Drosophila melanogaster: one gene and its partners. The protein of the gene in region 2 interacts with the protein of the main gene of each other region in a pairwise test. Each region holds a gene or a part of one and is shown on either strand. Other genes may lie near its edges.

What was found. The genes of interacting proteins can lie anywhere in the genome.
Region 1: the proteins of CG8701 (region 2) and CG17385 interact in a two-hybrid assay, tested with the Drosophila melanogaster proteins (one large-scale study listed by BioGRID).
Region 3: the proteins of CG8701 (region 2) and CG12155 interact in a two-hybrid assay, tested with the Drosophila melanogaster proteins (one large-scale study listed by BioGRID).

Annotation. Positions count from the first base shown.
Region 1 is NT_033778.4:14,408,455-14,413,973, reverse strand, and holds CG17385 (uncharacterized protein), read left to right. Parts: upstream 1-2,401; 5' UTR 2,402-2,562; coding exon 2,563-2,631; intron 2,632-2,689; coding exon 2,690-3,249; intron 3,250-3,555; coding exon 3,556-3,763; 3' UTR 3,764-4,173; intron 4,174-4,234; 3' UTR 4,235-4,679; downstream 4,680-5,519. Other genes in the region: Sin1 (SAPK-interacting protein 1), read right to left, coding at 358-2,067.
Region 2 is NT_033778.4:8,368,746-8,373,285, forward strand, and holds CG8701 (uncharacterized protein), read left to right. Parts: upstream 1-2,327; 5' UTR 2,328-2,506; coding exon 2,507-3,247; 3' UTR 3,248-3,397; downstream 3,398-4,540. Other genes in the region: CG2127 (uncharacterized protein), read right to left, coding at 258-1,175.
Region 3 is NC_004354.4:7,726,429-7,732,569, forward strand, and holds CG12155 (uncharacterized protein), read left to right. Parts: upstream 1-2,326; 5' UTR 2,327-2,762; coding exon 2,763-2,946; intron 2,947-3,233; coding exon 3,234-4,717; 3' UTR 4,718-5,301; downstream 5,302-6,141. Other genes in the region: NELF-B, read right to left, coding at 1-284, 347-1,645, 1,724-1,855; Pdp (pyruvate dehydrogenase phosphatase), read right to left, coding at 5,574-5,817, 5,886-6,141.

The DNA of each region.
Region 1 (5,519 bases), 6.0 Mb from region 2:
AACGGAAATGAAAACCAGATATACTGCTAAAAACGCGGCCAAATCGCGCGTGAATCGCTTCAAAACCGCAATGTAAACGCCAGCGGCAAGGCGGAAGCAAAAATGTAGAGATTACCGATTTTAAGTGTAAATTTTGCAATTTTATTTTCAGGACCAGGCTTCGTAGTTGGGTGAGTTCAATAAATACTTACAGGCTAGGCAAACATGTGTAACACAATCTTTAGTTAGCAACTAATACAACTTATCGAACAGGAGGCGGAGGCGGAGGCGGAGAAGTAGGCGGGGACGTTGCAGCGGCAGTGACAGTTGCCCGCCTGCTAGGCAAACGAGCGACAGCCGCTGCCATAGGAATAAATACTACAACTTCAGCTGCCTCTTCTCCTGCTTCCGATCGCGCTGCAAAAGGAACTCGCGCCTCAGATCGCTGGATCGCATCTCTAGTATGCAGTTCAGCTTGTTGTGGATCTGCTCCGCCGTGTGGGTGTCCGTATCGAAGTCGTAGTGCTTAAAGCGAATATTGCTGCTTGAAAAGAGTCCGGAAGAGTGACCCGGACTGCTGGGCGAGTGGGCAATCCCACCACTGCCGCTTCCCGCATTCAGTGTGGTTACGCTGGCGTTGATCGGCGCCGAAGTGCAGCCCGTGGAGAAGGAAGGGGACGAGGAGTTTGACTTCAGCCAGATGCGCAACAGAGCCTTCAGGTGGCGTCGCTCCAAAATCTCGCAGTGAGCAACAAAGTCAATGGGAGTGGATACGGGCTTCTTCTGCGGCCAGAACTTGGCATTCTTGCACTGATCGATCTCTATTCTCTCACCAGATATTCCCAGAGTCACATCGGATTTGAAGAACCTCTTGTCGATGATGTTGAGGCGGAAAGTACGATGCATGGGTGCTTCCAGCATATCGTTGTGATTCAACAATCGCTTCTCATACTCCTTGACATTATCGTGTGGACTATCGCCTCCTCCACCTCCTCCACCCGGATCACTAGTTCCTCCATTTAGGCTAATATTTTGCAGAGCCTTGACAGCCGCATCGGACAGAGCTGTCTTGTCTTCCACGGAAGTCATGGATTTACTGCCCAGCTGGCTGTGGTAATCAACTCGCGTCACTGGAGCCAATGGCCGACGCTCTGCGAGGGTCAGTTGGGAGAAGCCAAACTTAGAGCAGGGTTCGCGATTGTCCAACGGTGGGAAGTCTTCCATATCATCATTATCCTCTGTCATATACAAAGCGTAATGCTGCAGGGACTTCAAAGGAACGTCGGGATATTGTAAGGAGGTCCTGTAGCAGACAAAACCAATTACCTCCTGGATTTTGGCAGTGGCTACGACGCAGATCTTCAACGGGTAGTTGCGATCCGGCTCGGGAAGCATATTTAAAAACACGTTTATCCGTTTCGTTTGCATACCCACTTGGGAGGTGCCATCGAAGCGGGCGAATTCAATGAAGCGATTCTGTGCTTGCTTTGGACTTTTGGCCAACTGTTCAGTGAGCTGGCTCTGAACACCCTCATCTGACAGATCATCGTCGTTGGCTTTCGGTTCATTTTTAACTCGCTCAGCTTTGCTGAGGGGCAACTCTTTGCGTTTAAAGAAATCATCGCTCTCCGGTGGCTGCACTTCCTCCTGGTAGTTAACACTCTTGATGCGCGCCGCCCTTCGCTTGGCAATATCCAGTTTCTCTAGTTTTTGGGCAGTGTTGGAGCGAAAGCGGTGGGCGCCCACCTCCGGATACATTTGGATGTCAAAGGAGTGCGTGGACATGTCCTCCTCGTCGTCGCTGAGGTCCAGTCCCGGATAGCAGATGAAGTCCACTTCCTGGAGTGGCGCATCCGGATGCCGGGTGTTCCGCTCCGGTGTTGTCCCGCCCCCCGTCGGCGGTGTCTTGTGCGCCCGTCGCCAATGATAGTGATCTCCTCCAGCGCCCGAGTTACCGAATTTTCGCAAATAGTGTTTGGGCATGTCATCGCTCAGCATCACCGTCTCGCACATTCCGGTGTCGTCCGTGGATATGAAGGAGTTGCGGATGTGGGAGAGCAGCCAATGCTGGTTGGAGTAGGTCGCCATGGTAGTAAACAAAAGAAAATCTCTTTTTCAAAATTAATTTCTATTTATCTCAGCATCTCGGAAAAATGCACTAACGCCTTTGGATTATCTAGAGATGGAACATTGCGGTTGTTACTGGTCACTTTTTGGTGGTGGTAACGAATAGCACGCACAAGTCACCGTTCCCAACAGAACATAAGAGGAATACCTACTACATGAATATACTTAAATTATGCAATTAAGATAAAGGTTATACCAAGTACTTATTATCAAAGTAATATTTTGAATTTACATGCAAGTCTAGTTGTAGCGGTACTCGTTAAATCTGGTCTTTTTTCATTCAACGCAAACGGTCACTCTAGGCCACCATATGACTTTTTTCTGGACGCGAAAAATTGCCGAGTTACAGAATAAGTTAATTATAGTGAGTTTATCGTCGCCTGACCTGCCGTTTTTCGATGTCCACTTCTTGAGAACTCCCAATCGGATAGAGTCGATGTGCTAGCCAACGGCGAAATGGCGGGCATGGAGGTAGAATTCGACGAGACGGTGGCCAATCAGTTCAGCTGCAAGCGCTGCGACCGAGTAAGTGTGTGGGAAATGTCTCCTATTACCTCAATCTAACCACTATCCATTGATGCAGACCTTCAGAAGCAAGCGGGATCAGACGTTGCATCGACAAGAGGTGCACAACCACAACAAGACCACCTACGAGTGCAAGCTGTGCGCGAAGAGCTTCTGCAATTCGGGGAACCTGGATCGTCACATGAAGGTGCACAACGATGTGCGGCCTTTCGTGTGTAACATTTGCTCGAAGGCCTTCGCCCAGGCTGTGAACCTGCAGCGCCACTATGCGGTGCACAGCGGGGAGCGGCCATTCACCTGTAACTTCTGCAACAAGTCCTTCACCCAGCAGAGCAACATGAAGCGCCACAAGATGACACACACTGGCGAGAAGCCGTTCCGCTGCCAGCGATGCGGCAGGTACTTCTCCCAGCTGGTTAACCTCAAGAAACACAAGCTTGGCCACCTCAACGCCAAGCCCTACCAGTGTAATTACTGCGAGAAGGGCTTCACCCAGCTGTCAAACTTTAAGCGCCACTTGCAGTCGCACATAAAGGAGGGCGTCGATGTGGACGTGCCCGCCTCTATCCAGGCGGCTGCCGCCCTGGCCAGGGAACGGCTTGAGTCGGAGCAGAAACCGTGAGTACTTGCCGGCTGTAGAAGATCAAGGTGCCCTTTGATTAGTTCAACCTGTTCAGACCTACCTTAAGTTGCCTATTCGACACCGATTATCGACGGGTCATGATTAGATTCGGTGCTGATTAGTGTGCTTAACTGTGCTCATTTCCCTTTTATGAACAATTAATACTATATGCATTTTTGAAGGTGTACACGTTCCCAATCAATACTTTTATATATTAATTGACTAGCCTCAAAACTATCCTTGATCCTTCTACATTTGCTTGTTGTGAATTTTATTATTGAATTAAAACATTTCATTTTCAGAAGCTTTTTCGAATGCATGGTGTGTCGGGCCATCTTTGATACCTTCGCTGACTATGAGAAGCACGAAGCCAAGTGCCATGAGGACCACGAAAGGGCCCAGCTGGAGGTTAACCAGATGTCCCACATGCATCCAGACGACTATTTGCCCATGAAGTTTGCCGTGCCCGATCTGGATACGCACGAAATCATAATTGAGACTACACATTAGAAATGGCAATAATTTTAAATGAAATACCACGAAAACACACAACCCAACTCACACCTAAACATACAAATAGCGGCGATTCCGACGGAAAGATGGAATGTGAAGAATATTGCATTGAATATACAGATATGAATATATATGCAGGCCAACATAGTTCTCCATTGAATTACACCAATAAATGCAATAAATATGCAGATAACCAATGCGAATCCTTCGCTATCCCTGTTGCTAATCGATCCGATCTCTGTTGACATTGTTGCGTGAATCAGGCTAACCCGTCGATTTACGGACCCTAAAGACGTTTTAACTGCACCCTTTATGATGTGCCATTTTATGAGCATATGTATGATATTCGCTGGATTTTCCCGAGTCACATCATCAATTCTCTCGTTCGCAAGTCCCAAAACCTCACAGTGCGTAAATTGTCGCTTTAATGACACATTTCGCACAGCCGTAAAACTGTCCCTTTTCCAGCTTGTCAGGCCAACATTCTTGCGTCATTAATGTGACAAATATGTTTGCCCAAATAGTCACGTTACCACTCACTGTTGTTCGTTAAGTTCGAAGAAGAAAGGTAAAGGAATCGCCCGATGGGTCTATAATTTATACATGTGATTTCTCGACTATTTGATTGAAACTAATTAAAGGCACGTTCCTGACTTGTTTACCCGCCAGCAGTCATGGAGCAATAATTGATCGCACAGTCCTTGCTATCAGCATCCACCGCTCGCTCTGACCATGTCCTTGTGGCCTTCGCAGTCATCGTTTTTGCGGCACTAAATCAAACTATTTATACATCTGACTCCCCGGACTACTCACACTTCCGCTCGCACAGGGAAATAATATTTCATGTCCACATCGTCGTCCTGCCACATTTTCTGGCTGTGCATGTGTGCGCCTGGTTCAATTGGCATGCGGCTGCTTAAATGGTCACTGCTTGGGGCCTCGGACTAATAGGTTCACATTTATTAAGCTGCCCAATGTCATTTGTTATAAATTTATTATGGTAAATGTCCTGCTCCTGATCTCAGCTCATAAGTTTAAGCAGTCATGTGAAGATGGCAAGAAACTGCAGCTAATTTATAGGATGCTGATCTCATCGGAGTTGATAAGTTAATTTAATTAAATTTATTTAAATAGTAGGGGAATGCAGCGTATTCTGTTTAAATTTGAAAACTATTCCTTAATTGATTATTTAATTTTTTGTGTAAGCATTATCCTTTTTGAACTTAGTAACAAAGTACATATATATCTCTTCTTAAACAGAAATATGTAAAACCGCGATTCCGTTTCAGTTTCTATTGTAAAAAATCCTTGCTGCAGATTTAGGGGTTGTGTTTTCAATGAAATCAATAGCTTGTTCTGCCCCGCCCCTTTTTAGGTCGCCGTTTGGGGAATTTAATTTTGTGTGTGTGCGCTTTTTTATACAGTTCAAATATTTGCACGCTGAGATTGTGTGGCAATAACGCTCCGTTTCCCGGCCAACACTTGCCGCCCTTTTTTTTTTGTGTTGGCCAATTGTTTGCTCGGCAGTGCACAGCATGCAAATAATCACCGTCGAATCACAGTGTGCTCAAACATTTGGGGGCGTGGCAGTTATGACGTCAGCCACGGTTAATGAGTCCTCGGTTCCCTTATTTCCTTTTTTAATCAAACAAGTTGACAAAGGCAAACAGCATCATCAGTTTTGCACACGCAGTTGAGTCATTAAGGCCAACGCCTGGGGTTAGGCAACGATTTTTCCTTGCTTTTTTCCTTC
Region 2 (4,540 bases):
AGTTGCACTTGGAGTCCGAGGTGCCGCCCTTGGAGCTGGCACAGCTGGCCAATCGGACGACGACTGGCATTAGGGTTTTCCCGCAGCGTTTTAACAGCATTTTGAATTTGGAAAGTGTGGATTGTGGATTGTGGATTGTGGAGTGCGAATGGAATGAATTGGCTATTTTGGAAAACTGTAATTTTGGTGGATTGTGAGTTGGAAAAGTGACCGGAATGTTGTGGCCAGATGTCGAATGACTGTGCTTTCGCCGCCGCCTACGTTTCGCCACACTTAAGGACTGCCCCCTTGCCACGGGCGATCCTTCGCCTCAGCTCCGCCCACATCTCGCAGGCCATGGGAACTCGAAGGCATAGGCACTCTGTAGGTGGTGCGTTAGTGAGCTCCTCCCGCTTGCATTCTGAGAAGCTGGGATACGGCGCCGGGCGCTTGGTACAGTCGGTAGGTCGGCGTTCTCGGTGGCAACTGGGCGGAATACGGGCGGGCTTGCAGCAGGGAAGAGTCCAGCGCGGACAGGGTGAGGAGTCCTCTGCCTTCTTGCACTCCATGGGATTAAGCATGGGCATCGTGGGACGGGCTGTGGCCACCACCGTCTTCCGCTGACGGCGGCAGGGCTTCGGACGCGGTCGCTTTGCGTGGATGCACACCTTCTTGGGCTTGATCACCAACCGGGGGCACTCGTTCCACGTCACCTGGTACTGGCGGGCCTCTTTGTCCGATATGCGGTAGTGCTGGATGTCGTACCGCACTGGCACATCGCACTTTGGCACGTACTCGCAGTCGGGTATATACCACATGGACCTCATCTTTGCTGGCAGCTTCGGCTTGTTGGACTTTTCCTTCTTGGGCTCTTCCTTCTTCTTGCGCTTACCGCCCTTGACTGCATCGCAAATGGTGCCCTTGAACCGAGCAGGACCACAGCCCTTGGAGGTCGATACCTGATCGCAATCCTTTGGCCGCCCGCAATCATCGGCGGAAGACTGACTGCTGTAGTTGCGGCGTAACAGGTGCTGCCGGAGCACACTGGAGCCAACGCAGTCGGCCGGGGTTTTGATTTGGCTCAGATTCTTGGACCAATCGACCTTGAATAGAGAACAGGCATTTACCAAAGACTCCAGGCACGGCATGCTCCGATCTACGAGGGAACGACATTTCTGACGCAACATTCGCAACATATTGAACCTTTTTACCAAATTTTGTTTTACAAAGCCGAAAATAGTCGAAAATATGTTATGTTAGGCCAAGGACTGAGTGTAGACTAACTAAAACCCGACATCCTCAGCTCGGAGTGGGCATTCACAGCATACTTTATAGGAAATTTGGAATACAAATTCTAAAAGACCTCTAGATATATCTAAGCTACACCTGTTGTACCAGTTGCAGTGCCTTTTTTTTCCCCACTTTTGTGAGGGTTCCTCTTCCTCATCTCAATTTGCTTTTCAGGGAAACGAGTATATAACTTAAGATATACATATTTTAAATATCTTAGAGAATTTATAGTAAAATCTATGAAGTTTTGCAAACTTGTGGGAATGGTATTATCGTACCCGCTACTAGTAGAGTATACTAAATACGATGAAACGTAAGTAAATGGCAGAAGGATGCATTTCCGACTCTATATACATGTTCATTCCCAATCAGGCCATGTCGGGCACTTAAAAAGGTATGCAGGTTGGATTGACCAACCAGACTCTAAAGACGTTAGCGCAGCACAAAATGGTTTTGGTAGAATTTGCCGCAGAACCTGTCTCCAAATACTTTTCGCGACCTAAGTGCTGAAGAAAATTTTATTATACTTTTTATTTTATTTTATATTATATTATTATATTTAGAGTAAATGGGTATACTAGATTCGTTTAAAAATGTATGTAACAATCAGATGGAAGCGTTTCCGGCCCCATAAAGTAATATATATACTTTAATCAGACTCAATAGCCGAGTCGGTCTGGCCATGTCCGTCTGTCCATATGAACGTCTCGATCTCAGGAACTATAAAAGCTATAAGGTTTAGCATACAGATTCTAGAGACATTGACGCAGCGGAAGTTGACCCATGTTGCTGAGTAATGGCTCTTGTTTTTATTTGGATTTCAGTTTATTTTTGACCAATTGTAAATCTATTTCGTCACAATTTTCGTACTAGCAGAATAAGTGGTATGTGATTTACGGAGAAAACGACTGTAGGGTTTTTTTTCTTTTATGTATAAATATGGAGTACTCTGCGCTAACAGAGTATTTCCTCTTTCTATATAATAATATTCTGAAAAGGATGCCTTGAAATTTACTTCGATGCGATGTAGCCATGTCGAATAACTTTGTATGCCAGTTCCTCTCGGCCTCTTCCAAAATTCACATCGGCTCCGTTGAGCTGATTGTGTATTCGGTTACAAATTTGTAGTTTGGTCATTTTTCGGTGCCGAGGGATTTTCATTTTTGTTTCGGGATTGTTGTATTTAGCGATACCTTTCTTTCCCCCCCGAGAAATTTATATCAGCCCGTATCCAGCCATGTCTATGTGGCGCAGTATTGGAACGAAAACCCAAAATCGAGTAATACCCAGCTTTGCGAGCGTGGTCTGCCATCGCGCTTTCGCAAAGGACCACAATCCATCTCCAAAGTGCAGTGACAGTTCTGGAAAGGGTTGCGGTAATTTTACCGCTTGTGGAGACCCCCGGTTCGCGAAGAAACCACCGCCGAAGAAGGAGGACGGCTTCCAGTTCCATCATCTGGTGAAGCAGCCGCCGGAGTGCTGCACCGATCCCTGCGCGGAACGGTTCCCCCCGTACGACCAATGCTACTACAAGATCTCTGACAAGGCCACGCGCAAGTACCAGGTCACCTGGGTGGAGTGTCCGCCCATAAAGATAAAGCCCAAGAAGATCTGCTGCTACGAGGCGGGAATTCGTCCGCCGATCCCAAGGCGCAAGCGCAAGAAGTTCGTGACATCCGCCGAGTGTCCCACGAATGTCGAATGCCCCACGGAGGGAGGACCCTGCCCTAGAATCAAGATGCCCGGCTGTAAGGCCGTAGACAGCGTCTCTTGCCACGTCGTTAGACGTAAGACCGACTGCGTCAAAGTCAAGGCCCCCTATCCTTCCTTCTCCGAGTGCAGCCGCTCTCGTCTTCGCAAGCCTCGGGGCGTTGAATGCAACTGCCTAGATGTTCCAAGCTCCTGTGACCTGATTCGTGAGCTGAAGAAGTTCGAAGGAAATCCACGGAAGCCAAACTGCGGGGGCAGTAGGGCTTAATTCCATAGTGCTGTTTGAATCCTAATCCCAGCGCTCAGTATCTTGTTCCGTTGACCTAAATATTCCAAACCGATCCAGTTAAAGTAACTTTTCTACCGTGCGTAAAATTCAGACTAGAAATAAACCGAACTATGATTTTTAAATTTATTTAATTAGATAGCATTGATCTTTCATTCAATAAAATATTTATAACAATCTCCTAGGGGAAGGATTAAATGCACACATGGCTACTATGGAGTCTGGTTGCATAAGATTGTTATGCGCATTTGGTTTACTCGCCGCTCGAAAATAGTTTTTGTGTTATATATTTTGGTTTTGAAAACCTGGACCGTTGCTACTTAGCCATGTAAATCGAAAACATTTGCCCGACTCTGGATGAGTATGCAAAGTGTCTCGAAGAGGGGATGCGGAGATGGCGTACAACTGCGTGCCATATTAAAGTCGCTTATAGCAAATTACCAATTCAGATATATACGAGTACACACAAATCAGTTATACCCGGCATCCATCAGCATATTCCCCTGGCTGTTGCTTTTTGGACGTCCCTCTCCCTTTTCGTATTTCCTTTAACTTTGAATGCATGCAGGCCGTCACATTTATTCGAGTTCGAGTTTGATGTACGAGCCGAAATGCATGTGCATAATCAAAAGGGGAGCGGAAGGAGCCTTCTCCCGAAGACAATCGAAATGAGACAAGGCCCGGCTCCGCAGCTCCGAAGACGACGAATCTTCCCCAGCTGCAGACATAATTGATGGATCGCTGACTGGCGACAGAAATGTTCTGGCTGGATCTGGATCCGAATCCGAAAAGAGGATTCGTGTTGTGCGCCTACCTTCGTCTAAATAATGATGTCGCATTATTTATGCCGCAGCTGATTTGCATAGGCAGGCTAAGAACCTGGGATTTGAGAATGGGGGATTTTGGATGGGGAAGAGTGGGGATGTGTTGAAGCGGTTGCGTTGCCCCCGGGGCAATGTGTGCGCTTTCTTTAATAAATGTTTAATTTATAATTGATTTTCCCCCCGCCCACCGGCCCAGCGATATGCCTTGGCTCCAAAGACCTCAAAAGTTTCTGAACCGCAAAAGGATTTGCCCGCGCACGAAAACACTTAATTAATTCGCATAGACAGACAGTCGGACGGCAGGACAGACTGGCAGACATACGGACGGATGTGGTGGGGCGGCATCCTGCCCACCCATCTGGTCAGGCGACTACACCCAGGCACACAAACACACACACACACATGGAGAAATAATTAGAAATTAGAATGGAGAATGCTTGCCAGCCAAGTT
Region 3 (6,141 bases), on a different chromosome or scaffold from region 2:
GCTTCAATGACCGGCGTCTCCGCCGCCCCGGTGCCGATTCTCTCCTGCAGAATTTCGTACAACTTGTGGATGTGCTCGTTGTGGGCCGTCGTCGGCTGCATAGCCTTCATCAATGTGGCCAAACGACCGGCGGGCAGCTTATTGTGCACATACCACAAAAGTTTCAGCATGTGACGAGAGGTCACATTCTCGCGCGTCAGTCCGGCAAAGATGAACTCGTCGAAGAGCGTGGTGCAGAAGTCCTCCGTGGCAAACTCTTCGCTCATGGGGATGAGCAGGGCAATCTGTAGAGGTAAGCAATCGAGTCAGAAAAGTAAATATTAGAAAAGCAGCTATAAATGCTAACCAGAGAGTGCAGGAAGGGATCCTCATATGCGCGGTCGTCTTTGCAGGCGGACAGAATGGCCAAGACGCGCAACACGCCCACGCGATCCTTCAGGCGCGCCGTGTGCAGCGTATAGTACATGGCCAATATGCTGGCCACGGAACTCTCTTGAATGTACGCCTCCACGGCATCCGGTGCCGGTCCCGAATGCTCGATGGTGGTCAGAGCAGATTCACGCTCGTCCGGCGGTAGTTTCGCGTGCAAGCTGCGGCACTGGTCGTCAACCATTAACGACATGAGGGCGGGCAAAAACTTGGTGACCACCTGGCAATCAAGTTTGGGCTCCTTAAAGTCTTGCGAATCGATCATCACCCAGGCACTCAAGCCCAAGGCCAACATTCTCAACAACAGGATGAGTATCTGATTGTCACGCGGCATGCCCTCGTTGTTGATCAAGTGATGCAATATCTTGATGGCCGACGTGGCCAAAAAGTTGATGGCATACGGATCGCACAAAGTCATGGACAGATCGCCCAGAACCTGCTCCTGACCGCGCTTGATGTTGTCAAGAAATCCCTGGAGCTCCCGTGAACGTTTAATGTCCACATTCTTCTCCCTTATGCAGGCGTCCAGGCACCAGGTGAACTTGTGACAGGGATCTATCGAGATGATCTCCTGCACCTCGAGATCGTGTAAGGCCATCAGTAGCTCTGCACGCAGCGTGCAATAGTGAACATTGCGGGTGCGCAGGAATAGAGTGCGCAGGAACTGCAGCACCATATCGTACAGCTTGACACTGGTGCCAATCATGTTGGCCAACTTTTGGACTACTTCCCCCTGCCTTCGCACCTTGGGCGTTGGGTGGAAGAACAGATTGTTCAAGTTGGTGTGATCAAACAGGATGTGCTCCTTCTCGCGAATATATTGTGAGAGGAGAGGCGACACCTCGTCACCAAACAACGATTGATTATCACGCCATATCTGCCGCTTAACTTCCGTATCCGTGTCCGCATACAGTTCCCGATCCCTTACAAGGATTTTGAGGTACTTGTCATCGATGTGCTGGGTATTCCTCAATATGGCCATGACCACGGGCCGCAGCGACTTCACCCGAACGACGGGGAAGCTCTTAACGAGCAGCTCCTTGAGCTTCTTGTCCCGCTCCCGGGGCTCCTTTTGGCCCATCTCGTTGATGTGAGCTATCAGCTTGTCGCGCAGCTCCTCCATCAGCGAGGTATGAAAGTCCAGTCGACGCACGCCGTGCAAATCGAGTAAAGGCAACATGGGGCGCAGTGAAGGCAGCAATACACCATTCTCAAGCTAAAAAGGCAGGTGATATTTGGATAAATAAGCCCACCGAACTTTTGGCGCCCATTTTTCGGTGCAACGTAAACAAACCTGAAAACTCTCGATGGCCTTCAAGGGATCAGTGCAGGAGGTCAGGGCCTCGCGCAGATAGGCCTGACCCGGAATATTCACGTCCTCCAGTCCAGTTCCATTGTTATTTTTCGCCGGTGTGCTCATTATCATGCAATTCGTCGGCAAATTGAGCAAAACAAGACACGAAGCTACACAATTGTGTTGTTTTTTATTGCTAGCGAGGAGACAAAAAAATAAGCGCAGGCTTGCACATGTGCGGTGTTATCGATAGTGCACGTATCAGCACGGCTTGTAATAGCCAACTTTGTATGTTTAACATGTAGTTATTAATATTATTTTGCCAACAAATAGTTGTATTATTATTATTGGTAGAATGGTAAATGTTACAAAAATTAATAAAGATAATAAAAAAAAATTATATGGGCCACAAATACAATATAAGTCTAATTTCTAATAGTGTTGGTAAAAAAACTGAACTCAAAAAATAAAAACCTTTAATTAGTTTGCCTTAGAACATCATTCCCATACGACTTAATTGTATAAGAACGTAACTTTTAATTGAGGATTATAAATACAGGGAAACGGACTTTTGCTTTTCAGTGACGGCGAAAGAGAACGCCAATTCCGCGATGTGTCATCCCTAGCGCGAAATAAGCAACAGCAAAAACAGCCAAAAGCAAAGCAAGAGCATCAAGTGCAGTCAAATTCGCACAATTGGAGCTGAACGCCAAGGACAAGGCGTCTCGATTCTTGCCGAGATTCGTGCCCCGTAGCGACTACAAAGGAGATCCTGCTGCACACAGTCGCTATCCTTTGCATCGAGTGTGCGAGAGTGTGTGCGTGCGTGTTCCTACACCTACATAAGCTGGTGTTTGGCTCCGTTCAAGTGCGCTTGTGTATGTGTTTGTGCGTGCATTTCGACGAGAACGAAAGCCTCTCTTTTCGTGGGTAAACAAAAACAAAACACCTGAATGTGAGGAGCAGCATTGGTATCGGGATAAGGATCATCAGGATTTGGGAGAGCACAACAGTGGAAACCCACAGAAGCTGAAGCAACATGTCCTCGTCGACGCAAGAGCGCAAGCGCTACCACAAGGACAACGCGCCCACGGACGACATCCTTACGCTGATCAACCTGGTGCGCCAGAATCCGGTTCTCTACAACTACAAACTGCAGCCGAACCAGCGACGCCGCTCCGATGTCCTCAACGGATGGCAGGAGGTGGCCCAGCAGATAGGAAGTGAGTGCTAGTCATGGCCTGCTTCATGTCCGACTATTAGCCTTCTTCCAGAATTAATATAAGCTTCCGCTAAAGTTGGTTTTAAATACCACATGCATATTGTATTGATAGGCTAGTGTTCTGGCGCCGGCTACTATAACACAACTCATAATTTCATCGTTACTTAGAAACGTTTTCATAAATGTGATGCCTTTGAAGAGGTTCTAGCTTGTATCAATTATCTGTAAAAGGAATACGATTCCTTTGAAACCCCGCTCATATTTATACTACCTCTTTCTTTCTTCCAGACAAGTACACGGTGCAGGAGGTGCGTCGTAAGTGGAAGAACCTGCGGGACACTTTCCACCAGTACCGTCTGCGCACGCCCAAGTACATCGAAGGGCGGCTATCCAAGTGGCGCTACGCCAAGGAGCTGGACTTCCTGTCGAAGGTGTACCAGCCGAAACTGAAATCGCACCGGAACACACAGATCACCTATGAGACGAGTGGGGTTGCCGGCGCCGGTGGAGGCATTGGAGGCGCGAATAGTACCACATTGCCCATTGGAGCTATGCTGCATTTGAAACAGCATGTGGACGATGACGACGACGAGGTGATGGACGATGACGGGCAATCGGATCACGATACCGCCACGCTCTCCTCACATCACGGCACCTCGCAGATCACCCTGGTCAGCGATGAGGCGGAAACCTTCATCCTGACCGCCTACGAGGAGGGCGTCTCGGATGACACTGTATCGCAGCACCACCATCACCATCATCATGGCCATCACCAGCAGGAGCATCATCACCAGCCGCACCACCACCACCACCACCATCATCATCAGTCGCAGCACGACGGCAGCATCTCCAGCATTGAGCTCTCCCAGATTGCCCACGATGACGATGTGGTCGATGATGTCGATGACGAAGATGATGTGGTCGACCACGACGGTCAGCTGGATATTGTGAAGCACGAACTGGACGAGGACGGGGCAACCGGCGCCGAGGTGGACTACGAAGAGGTGTGCCTGTACGAGGAGGCCAGCGGTGCCCATGTGGATTGCGAAATTGGTGTGGGTGACGCCGTGGACGGCGGTAGCGATGTTACCCACGGCAAGGGTTTCCATTACATCGATACACACGAATTTTGCATATCGGACATTGAGCCACAGACAGTTCGCTCCAGCCAGCATCAGTTCTCGGCCAGCGGTGGATCGGGCAATGGCTCAAATAGTGTCCTAACCGGTGGGACTGTGGTAACCGATGGCAAGGTAAAGAATCTCACGCTGGTAACAACCACGTCTCCTGCGGCTGGGGGCGGTGGATCAACCAATCGTCATGATTCCTCAGTGTCAACGCAGCAAATTTCCCTGGTGGATGTAACAGAGGCGACCAGTACCAGTGTGACGATTTCAAGCACGCCGGCCATTTCTCTGAATGCGACTACCGTGACTACCACGCCAGCAGCGGCGCTGTGCAATACCACATCCTTCACATCCACGCCGACGGCCACGATCATTCAGATGCCCCCCTTGAACTGCGGATCTGGCCAGCCATTGGCCGTTAGTGCGGCGGCCAGCAGTTCTAACAATCTCATCAAGGAGGATGAGCAGCATCAGCAGCAACAAGTGGCCCAGGCACTGGCCAAGCGTGATGAGCTCGATCTGTTCTTTGACTTTCTCAAGAAGAAGATGCAGTGCTTCAGCAAGACACAGATTACGCACATTCAGATGGAGTTCCTCAACTGTGTCAGCCGGCAGGAAGCGGCCGAACAGGATGGCAAGGATTAGGGACACCTGTTTTTAGTTATGTTCCCCAAAAAACAACCAATACGATCCCTGAGTAGTTGCCTAGTTTTTTCCATGTATAGGATTAGGATGCGTACCGTTTACCAGTTTGCAAGTTCGTGGATTCCGCGTTCTTCAATTAGCTTTATCCTCCACCCACGAAACCCCGGATCCCTGTATCCTTCACCCCTCTACACCATCCATTCGAGTAAAAATATATATACATATATATTAGCCAGCGTTACAATCAATTGTAATTGGAAATAAAAGAAAATAAATCGATTCTCGAAAACTACACAATTCGAAATTCTTAAAGTTGAATAGCTTGTTTGCAACAGATGATCTATACCTAAGTCTTAGGATTATCCTGGTTTCCCCCCCGTTTTATAGACCGAACTAAATTGAAAACAAGAAAATTGGCGTAAATTATAGAATAAGAAGTTTTAAATTGAATTAGATTATATACATTACGAATTGCTTGTAAATTTTAAACAGCAAAAATTAATATAAGTACTTGCTTTAAAAGAAAAAATAGTATCTACTTTACAAAATCACGAACTATTTGAGAAATAAATATATGAAGAAACCTTCTTGATTGCTTATAACCCTTGATATATACATATTTGCTGGGATTTTCATGTCATTTTTATTTTATTAACAAATGAGACGACCGATCATCGCTCTTTATGAATAACAAGACAATTTGCATATGTGATTTTTCGCTTTCCGCGTGCGATTTATTTGGCGCAGCAGTCGTCCGAGGTCCGATGGCGGATGAAACAAACTTAAACGCAACACTTAGGCTAGTTCGGCTGAAGGTTAGGCTCGTTAAATATACACATATGCACTCTCGCAGAGATCATGCTACCGGCGCAGTGACCTCCGTTTGATCCACATCGCTGTGCAGCTTGGCAATGTGCTCCGAGTTAAAGTAGATGACAGTGATTGTGATGTCGTCGCGATACAGACGCACCGCGTCCCTGGGCAGCGTCAAATAGTACGAGATCTTCGAGTGCTCAATCCCATAGTCGGTGCCGCCCAAAGCATGCCGGATGAGATGCGTGGCCGCGTTTTGGTCTACGGGTTTGCGAGTGAGGCCAGCCCTGCAATGCAATAAAAGCGTAATTAATAAATAAATAAATAACAAGCATACATTTAAAGGATAACTGACTTTCTTTCGGCCAGCTGCTGAGAGATTTCCTGCAGCGTTGTATCGCCTTCCGGCAGGCGCATCGGTTCGAGGATCTTTTTGGAGTTGATGTGCTCCCCCACCAAGCTGACCACCTCGCTGGGCGGAAGGAAATCCCATAGGCCGTCGCTGGCGATGACTAGAAACTTGTCGTTGGGCCCCAATTCGTGCTGCTGGACATCGGGGCGGGCGGTTAGGTACGGTGGCGTATAGTAATTCGGCGCCATTGCCTGCACGC